Linked DNA regions of Callithrix jacchus. The protein of the gene in region 1 interacts with the protein of each later gene in a biochemical or structural test. Links are inferred from orthologs where the notes say so. Each region holds a gene or a part of one and is shown on either strand. Other genes may lie near its edges.

Region 1 (4,413 bases):
AAATAAAGCTAATAAATCAATTACCTGAAATTGATTGGTTTTCAAACTATATTATCTAGATGTAAAACAAACAAACATTCCAGTACCACAAGAGGCTCGAAAGTAGCTATTAGAAGACTTGTACCATTATAGCTGAAAATTACCCTGGAATTTAAAAATATTTTTCAAATGACCCCATGAAGTACTTAGAAAGCAGGACCCTTCCCTGAAATATGCATAATCAGCTTTCCTCTTTACCTACCCCAGCATTCATTTGCAAGACACCTAAAAAAAAAAATTTAACTTTCAAAAATAATCTCCAATTCAGCTATTACCTAGACTATCCTGTTTCAGGCTAGTTCCCAAAGCCAACATGAATTGAAACGCTGAGTTCAACTAAAAGTGATCATTTTATGTTGCCTAAAGATATAATCAATTTCACATAACATACATTTGGGGGGGGGGGTTCTTAAAATCTCAGTTCTTTAGTTCTTCTAGGATACAAAATAACTTGTCTTTGCCCTTATCATGCCCCTCTTTTCCACAATAAGGAAACAATATAGATATTTTTGTTAAATTCTGGAAGTATGTTTAAACAAGCTATCATTAAATACCACATGAACAGCTCCACAAACAGAGATACACTGGAACATTAGATACTTGGTATATACTAAACACTTCAAGAGCATACTTTTCAGCCCAAACCCAGGACGAGAGTACAATGTATCCACAACCTTGAACGCAGCCCAAATATCCCTATTATTTCTAGGACCACAGCCATCTGCAAAAGCCAAAATGGAAAGGACTAAATCCACATTCTTCTAACTAAATCCAGTGTTACCTAAATGAGGTGGTAACTAACGCAAGAGTATTTTAAATGTCCTTTTTAAGGAACCCCCCTGTACTACAGAACATTTAACAGGTAATGAATGCAACAGCACTCCAAAATTTAACTTAAATGATAATGAGCCAGTGACAACATTTAACTTAGTATTTGGCACGATGACAAAACAAACAAAACTTGGACCTATTAATATTTCCAAGTTACCTTTTGATTAAATAATTATACAGTGGCAGGTTGATAATGTCAAAACAGGAGTTTAAGAGATAACACATCAAACCACTTATCCAAATTGAAGACAATGCATACAGAGATGCTACTGCTGCTGGGTATTTATTGGCTCCCACTGGTCCCTTCTAAAGGGAGAAATCAATGCCAGTCTCCAAATGTGAATGGTTACTGAGGAAGTTCATCCACAGATTAAGAATATTATGTATAGTCATACAGACAAGAAAAAAATGTTGGGAGAGTGGGACATTTCACGTTTCAATAAAGTATACCAAACTATGATAACCCCTGAGACCTAAAATACCCTCACTCATTCCAAAAGGCATACGTTCTGCAAACGTACATAATGGTTTATGAATCAAATCTTGTCCTCTTTATTCTAAAGGATGAGCAAGTAAACACTGTCATCACTAATATAACGTGGAAACACTCAAGCACTTGATGAAACTAACTACCAACAGCAAGAAAGTATACGAAAAGAAAGCAGTTTCAAATCGAATCGTCCAAATAAAAATCATATTCTCTCAATTCAAGGTTAATGAGACCGAGGGAGGGGGTATGGGAGAAGAAGAGAGGGAGCTGCTTCATTCTTGACTGAAGACAGGTTTTGCTCTTTTGCATTACCTGTTTGACTGTTTTATGAAGAGGTCTATTATTTTCAGATTCTGGTATTCCGAGGTTTCTAAGGGCGAGGCGGAAAAGGAGTGTAAAATAAAATCAATACTCACTGCTAACTTTCATGCTGCCAAAAGCTGAAGGCTGCTGCACCGGCTTGCAGCTCTCCGCAAAGGAGGTGGTTCTGGGCCGCCCTGACATGATCGCTCTCTTCGCGAATCACCTTTTCCTTCCTTCCTCCTTTTCTTCCTTTTGTCTTTATGTTGGGGTGTTAGGTTAATAATAAATGCAGCATTAAGTCCTCCCACAGAAGAAAAAGAAACAGACTCGTCCTTTCGGCTTTCCACTCCTTTTGTATACTATAAAAAAAAAGAGCGATGTATTTTTCCTTCAAGATAGGTCTGCACGGATATTTAACATATAGATGATTTAGGGCTGGGGAAAAAAATACAATTCTTTCCCCTTCTTTTCTTGGGAGGAGAAAAAAGGGGGGAAATCCTAAAAAAATATATATCACATGAAACGGGGGCAAATACTTGATTGAAAATGAGTACTTCAAATATTATATTTTCCTCGGGGATTTTTTTCCGAGTCAATGAAGAAGGGAAGCGGCGGAAGGATCACGAGTCTCACGCTTGAAGAGAAAGGGGGATGGGAAGGAGGGAGGGAGAGGGAGGGGGTGGCTCGGAGAGGCGACGGGAAACGCTGCAGCTCCGGCAGCCGCGGGATCCGGCGGGCTGACGGCGGGGGCCCGGCGAACTGAAGGGCGGTGGAGTCGCGAGTCAGTCAGAGACGGGCGGTGGCGGTGGCGGCGGCTCCTCTCCTCATTGCGCCAGGAGCAGCTGCAGGCGGCGGCTGGATCCAGCGGCCATGGCGGCGGCGGTGGCGGTGGCGGAGGCAGCTCCCTTCAGACCCCAGGCAGCGGCTCCTCGACTGCTCCCCATACGCAAGGGACATGGGAACCCGGCAACCGCTTCCGTCTCTCGGGGCCCCCTCCCCCGTCCGCGGCACCAGCGCGGCCGCCCTCCCGCCCCCCCCGCCCCTCGCCTCTGCTCGGTGCCCGCTCAGGAAGTGTCCGCGCTTTGCCCCCAGCCCAGAGCCCTGTCAGCGGCTGCGGGGCCGGCTCCTCCTTGCTTCCTTCCTTCCTTCCTTTGTCACTCGGCCCGGGCAGCGGCGGCGGCAGCGGCGGCGGCGGCGGTACAAGCCCGCATTCGCCCGGGTCGGGGGCTGCTCTGTGTGAGGAGCGCTGTCTGCGCAGCCGCCTTGCACTTCCCCACTCCCTCCTCCCCCCTCCTACTCGTCCTCCACCTCCTTCCTCCCCCACCCAGCCTTACACCGCCCAGCGTCCAGCCGCCCGCGTAACAGGCGTCTGGGAATCGCCGGCCGAGCCCCGCGCTCGCCCGCTTCGGCTTGGAGCCGAAGCCCGAAAAGAGCCAATCGCGGACGTCGTTTGTTTGCGACTCCTCCCGGATGAAGCCGATCGGCCTGAGAAACCAATTAGAAAATGTCGATGGGAAACCACGCCCAAAGAGCGGAAAATGCCGAAGGTAGCCGTACGGAAAGGGCTGGCTAGAGGAGACATTCGACAATGGCAACTGGGGCCAATCAGAATCGCCGGCCTCATGAAAACGCTTGAAGAGTTGAGGACGGTGAAACCCGGAGACGCTGGTGAAACTGCACGGCTGGGCGCCGCCACCGCTTTGTAATTGGTTGGAAAACTCCACTGGGAGCGTACCGCCCTTGGTGATTGGTGAAGGAAAGGGGGCTTCCGAGGACAGTCTAGCCAGTCAGGACTTCTCCTCCTTCTCCAAGGTGGGGAGAAGAAAGCGAAGGGAGGGCGCCTATAAAGCGCCGTCTCATTGGCCTGAAGCTTAGGCGCTGGAGTTGGGGCAAAAGGGAGAGGGAGGGAACCCGAAACCCGCAACGGTGGCCAATCGGCTCTCACTGCCGTTCAATCGCAAGACCTAGCTGCAGTGTGATTGGCCTTCGGCCTTGGTCCCAGGGAGCGGGGAGAAGCCCGACTGGGGTAGTGGCTGACGGCCTGACGGCTAGGCAACTGCCGCCTCCAGCAACGGTGGAGACCGCGGGTCCCCTGCCTAGCAAGTCGGAAAGTACTATGGTCGGCAGTGCTGGGGTCTGAGCGCTCAGCGAGCAGAGGGGTCGAGGGGCTTTCCTCACCCACAGGAGGCTCTCGGCCGGGCGGGGCCAATTCGGCGCACCCAAGGCTCCCCTCTGCCCGGGTCGCGCGTGCCGGGTGTCGGCCTCTTCCCCGAAAGGGGCAGACGGACCAAAGGGCCTTTCCCGGCCTGCTTCAAACTCTCAGACGCTAAAGTGGGAGCATAGCTTCCAGAAAGGCAGCGCCTTTGGGCGGTCGCGCCCCGCCCAGCCGCGGGGGCCACTGATAGAGAGGCTCGCTGCTCTTGGTGTATGCTGCTGGGCCGGGGCTCTGGAAACGCCCCTGAGAAATGAGCTCATGCTGGATGCGCGCGCTCCTGGGGCGCAATTGCCCAGCGCAAAACGGGCCCCGAAAGCAGGTGAAGGGAAATACGGTCAGGCCGGATATTCTGAAGCCTCCGAGGAAATGGGGGGCCAGATCAACTCCTGGTAGCTTTGGATCTTTTGAAGCTAGGGCGATCTATAAAATACAGCTTGAGTAGATGTCATACAGAAGACCAGTGTCCATTGTTCTTCCAGAGAACCAGTTCCTTTGGTCTGCTTGAGAACAGTGAGGTATGGCTACGTCAAGATAG
Region 2 (3,644 bases), on another chromosome or scaffold:
TCTGCATGTCTTTTAAAGTATGTCTTAACTACCATCACCTGTTAACACCTTTTTGAAATCTGAAATTCCTCATGGGGGCATTTTGGTGGACTGCAGAGGGATGGCGGGTGGGAGGCGGCTGCATTCTGATCTCTCTAGGTATTGCTGCTCTCCAAAACCCACTTACTCCTTAACCTATCACCATTGTGTGAGAAGAGAAGAGGAGATTTTTAATTTTCAGTCTGCTTTGGTAATAAACCATCCTCCAATCCAGATGTGTGCTTCACATTTACAAGTGGGAAACAGATGACTAGAAAAATTGGCAGGAAGAGGCTGCTTATTATGAAGAAAGAAACACTAACACCCTCACAGTTATCAGCTGCTTCAGAGGAAAAACAGACATGCCTATTGCAAGCTGATTGGAACTGTTAGGAAACCCTGAATACAGTCAGTGCTTGTTTTGTTGTTGAGAGGCCCACAACACTGCAAAGACCCAAATCACAGATGAGAGGTGATAACTATCTATCTTTTAACTTACCTTGGATGTCCATTTTACTAGAAGTACACACAGGTATTAAATTATGGGTTTTAAAGAATTTTGGTTTATATCGGGGGACGATGGTAACACAGGTAAGATTCTTTTTTTAAAAATCTGATTCTTTGTGTGATAGGGTTACTTTTCTTACATGTGCAATCCATGCAGGGCTCAAAAGTCCCATTTCATCAGAAATCCATCCTTCCTGTTACAAAGGCAAAACATTTGCTGTCCTCTCTAGGCATCTTGTGGGGAAAATAAACCAGTGTTTTCTTTTCAGTGTGACATGACTTTCAAATGATAATGCACTTTTCTTCCCTTCAGGGAAACCAGGAACAACTGGTAACCATCATGGAGGAACGAATGATAGAAGTTGAACAGAAACTGAAACTAGTGAAAAGCCTTCTTCAAGAGAAAGTGAATCAGCTCAAAGAACAAGTGAGCCTCCCCGGTCATCTCTGTTCACCCACCTCACATTCCAGCTTTAACTCCAGTTTTACATCCCTCTATTGCTATTAACTTGTTAACTTACATTGTCTAATAAAGGCAAATTCTATTCTAAGTGTCTACAAGAACTTAGGATTTGCTCTCCCTCATACCACCCCAAAAATATGAACTCTTTTTTTTTCCAGAGCTCTGTTTAAGGCTGGTTTGTTCACAATTTAAAATTGTAACTCTTTGCTAATATTCACATGGACCTAAGATTTTTAAAATTAAAAAAAAAACTGTTGATTCATATGGACCTAAAGCATGTGAATGGATATGTTTTTTTAGGTCCATGTGAATCAATAGATTTTCTTCTGCCCAAGACTGGAAATATTCCTATTTAAATTGGAAAAAATGACATAGGTTTGAGGGGCTGAAGCCTGAAAAAGAAAAAAAGAAAAATGACATAGGTTTAAAAGAAAGGGGGCTGGGGGATAAATAGAACTTTAGCTTTCCTGTTCCCAAAAGCTTCTGAAAAACCTCAAAAAAGTATCTTACTGTTACAGCCAGACTCCAAAAAGATGTACTTTGAATTAGAGGAGCACTAATCAGTCTGCTCCTTTTCATCCGCTGGTGGCAGATGTGTCCTTGGTGTTTAGCAGTTAGTTGCACATCCCCTGAAGAGACATGCAGAAAGTACTACCCTCTGGGAGAGTGTTGTGGCCTCTCTGGAAACTGAGACTGAGACAAACAGGTGGGGGGGGGGCAGAAATTGCCCACCTAGTTCTTTAGATACTTAAGACCTAAGAATAATCCTCCCAAGAGAGGGTCTGAATTCATTTGTAGACAGGAACTTTCTGTTGGCCTGTATCTTAATACACAGAGAAGAAAAAGTCCTGCTGAGTGAGCATTTATGCATTCAGTTCTTTACGTATTCAAGCATTCAATACACAGTTGCCGTGGGCCAGGTCCTGCTGTACACACATGGGTATAGCAGTGAACAAAGTCCCTGCCCAGCTTGGCCAAATGGTAGGTTCAGAAATAAATAGGATCCATCTGTTTTCAGTAGACGGGAACACAAGAGAAGAGATATTTGATCCAACCCAGAAGTTTAAAGAAAGTTTCCTGAAGGCCTCTTAAGCTGCATCTTGAGGGTTGAGTAAGATTTCACCAGTTAAGAAGGGCATTCTAGGCTGTGGGAACATCGTGGAGTTATGGCAACATGTGGGGCGTGGACGTATAATCACGTCCACATTGACAGTTCACATTGTCCTGGGAGAGGCAGGAGGGGAGACTAGAGAGGAAGGAGGAACAGGACAGCTGGCCTCCAATGCTGAGCCAAGGAGCTTCAGTTTTATTCTGTCAGTGATGAAGAGCCATCAGAGTCATTTTGGTTTTGTTTTGTTTTTTATTTTTGGAAAGGAAAAGGGAGGAAGAGAGGAAGGAAAAAAAAGTTGTATTCAGGAAGTTCAACAGAGAACAGGCTCTGAAATATTAGTGAGAGCTGCCAGTTGTCTAGGTTCTGGGTGCTGTCATCCTTATCCTTGCCCTTTGAAATGCTAATAAGTTGTTAAGCCACTCTTTTAGTTGCTTTTTATTCTCATAAACCTTTACAGTTTTAGATGCTCTACTTGAAATTGGGTATAAAATGAACAGTTAAAAGGTGTAACATGGGAAGGGAGACTGGAAAATATTAACCAGAATGACGGTGAAAGTATCCCAAGGCACTGCTAACAAGTTTTCCCACCTCAACCTAGACTGTATATTCTTTTTTTTTTTTTTTTAAACGGAGATCTTGTTGCCCAGGCTGGAGTGCAATGGGGCAATCTCGGCTCACCGCAATCTCATCCTCCCAGGTTCAAGCCATCTCCTGCCTCAGCCTCCCAAGTGGCTGGGATTACAGGCGCACACAACCACATCCAGCTAATTTTTTGTATTTTTAGTAGAGATGGAGTTTCTGCCGACCTGAGGTGATCTGCCCCCCTTGGCCTCCCAGAGTGCTGGGATTACAGGCCTGAGCCACTGTGCCTGGCCTAGACTATTTATTGTAACTATAAATAGACTAGACAAGGCCCCATGCAAAAAAAGTTCAGGAAAAGTAACTGCCCAAATCTTCTCTCTGTTATAATATATGAGCTAAATTTTAAAATAATCAGTGGGTTGTAGTTAAGAATGGGGGAGGTTCAAGCATCTTTGGTTACAAGCAGAGTTAAACAGTCCACACCTGACCTCAGGAATTTAAGTTATCAAAGTATTTCATATTTTTAAAGAATAAATAAAGGAATAATGCCTATTTAGGTAGAAGAAAACTTCTGGAGCTCTCTGATATCAATCTGTTCTTTTTATTGGTAACTTACATAAACATGCAAAGAAATAGCTTGGAAAAAGTGGATTTGCTCCAGTGGCATCCCTGATGCCAAGTCTGATGATAAATCTATATTGTAAAATAAAAGAATATCATTAGAAGAAGTGATTTGCCTTTTAAAATAACTGTCCTTATGTCAGAACTTCAACTAAGAAGAGATACAGAAATAGAGTCAAGATGTTTCTGCTTCTGTTTCTAGCTCTGCAAGAACACTAAGGCAGACGCGATGGTGAAGGATTTGTATGTTGAAAATGCCCAGTTGTTGAAAGCTCTGGAAATGACTGAACAGCGACAGAAAACAGCCGAGAAGAAAAACTACCTCCTGGAAGAGAAGATTGC

The links.
Region 2: of the proteins of GSK3B (region 1) and NIN, one has a biochemical effect on the other in vitro, tested with the Homo sapiens proteins (2 studies listed by BioGRID and IntAct). The link is inferred for Callithrix jacchus from reciprocal best matches to the Homo sapiens genes GSK3B and NIN.

What each region holds. Positions count from the first base shown.
Region 1 is NC_133516.1:82,767,061-82,771,473, reverse strand, and holds the start of GSK3B (glycogen synthase kinase-3 beta), read right to left. Parts: upstream 2,902-4,413; 5' UTR 1,865-2,901; coding exon 1,777-1,864; intron 1-1,776. UniProt on the Homo sapiens protein: Constitutively active protein kinase that acts as a negative regulator in the hormonal control of glucose homeostasis, Wnt signaling and regulation of transcription factors and microtubules, by phosphorylating and inactivating glycogen synthase (GYS1 or GYS2), EIF2B, CTNNB1/beta-catenin, APC, AXIN1, DPYSL2/CRMP2, JUN, NFATC1/NFATC, MAPT/TAU and MACF1.
Region 2 is NC_133509.1:85,314,253-85,317,896, reverse strand, and holds part of NIN (ninein), read left to right. Parts: intron 1-838; coding exon 839-952; coding exon of another isoform or gene 953-1,033; exon of another isoform or gene 1,034-1,076; intron 1,077-3,504; coding exon 3,505-3,644. UniProt on the Homo sapiens protein: Centrosomal protein required in the positioning and anchorage of the microtubule minus-end in epithelial cells. May also act as a centrosome maturation factor.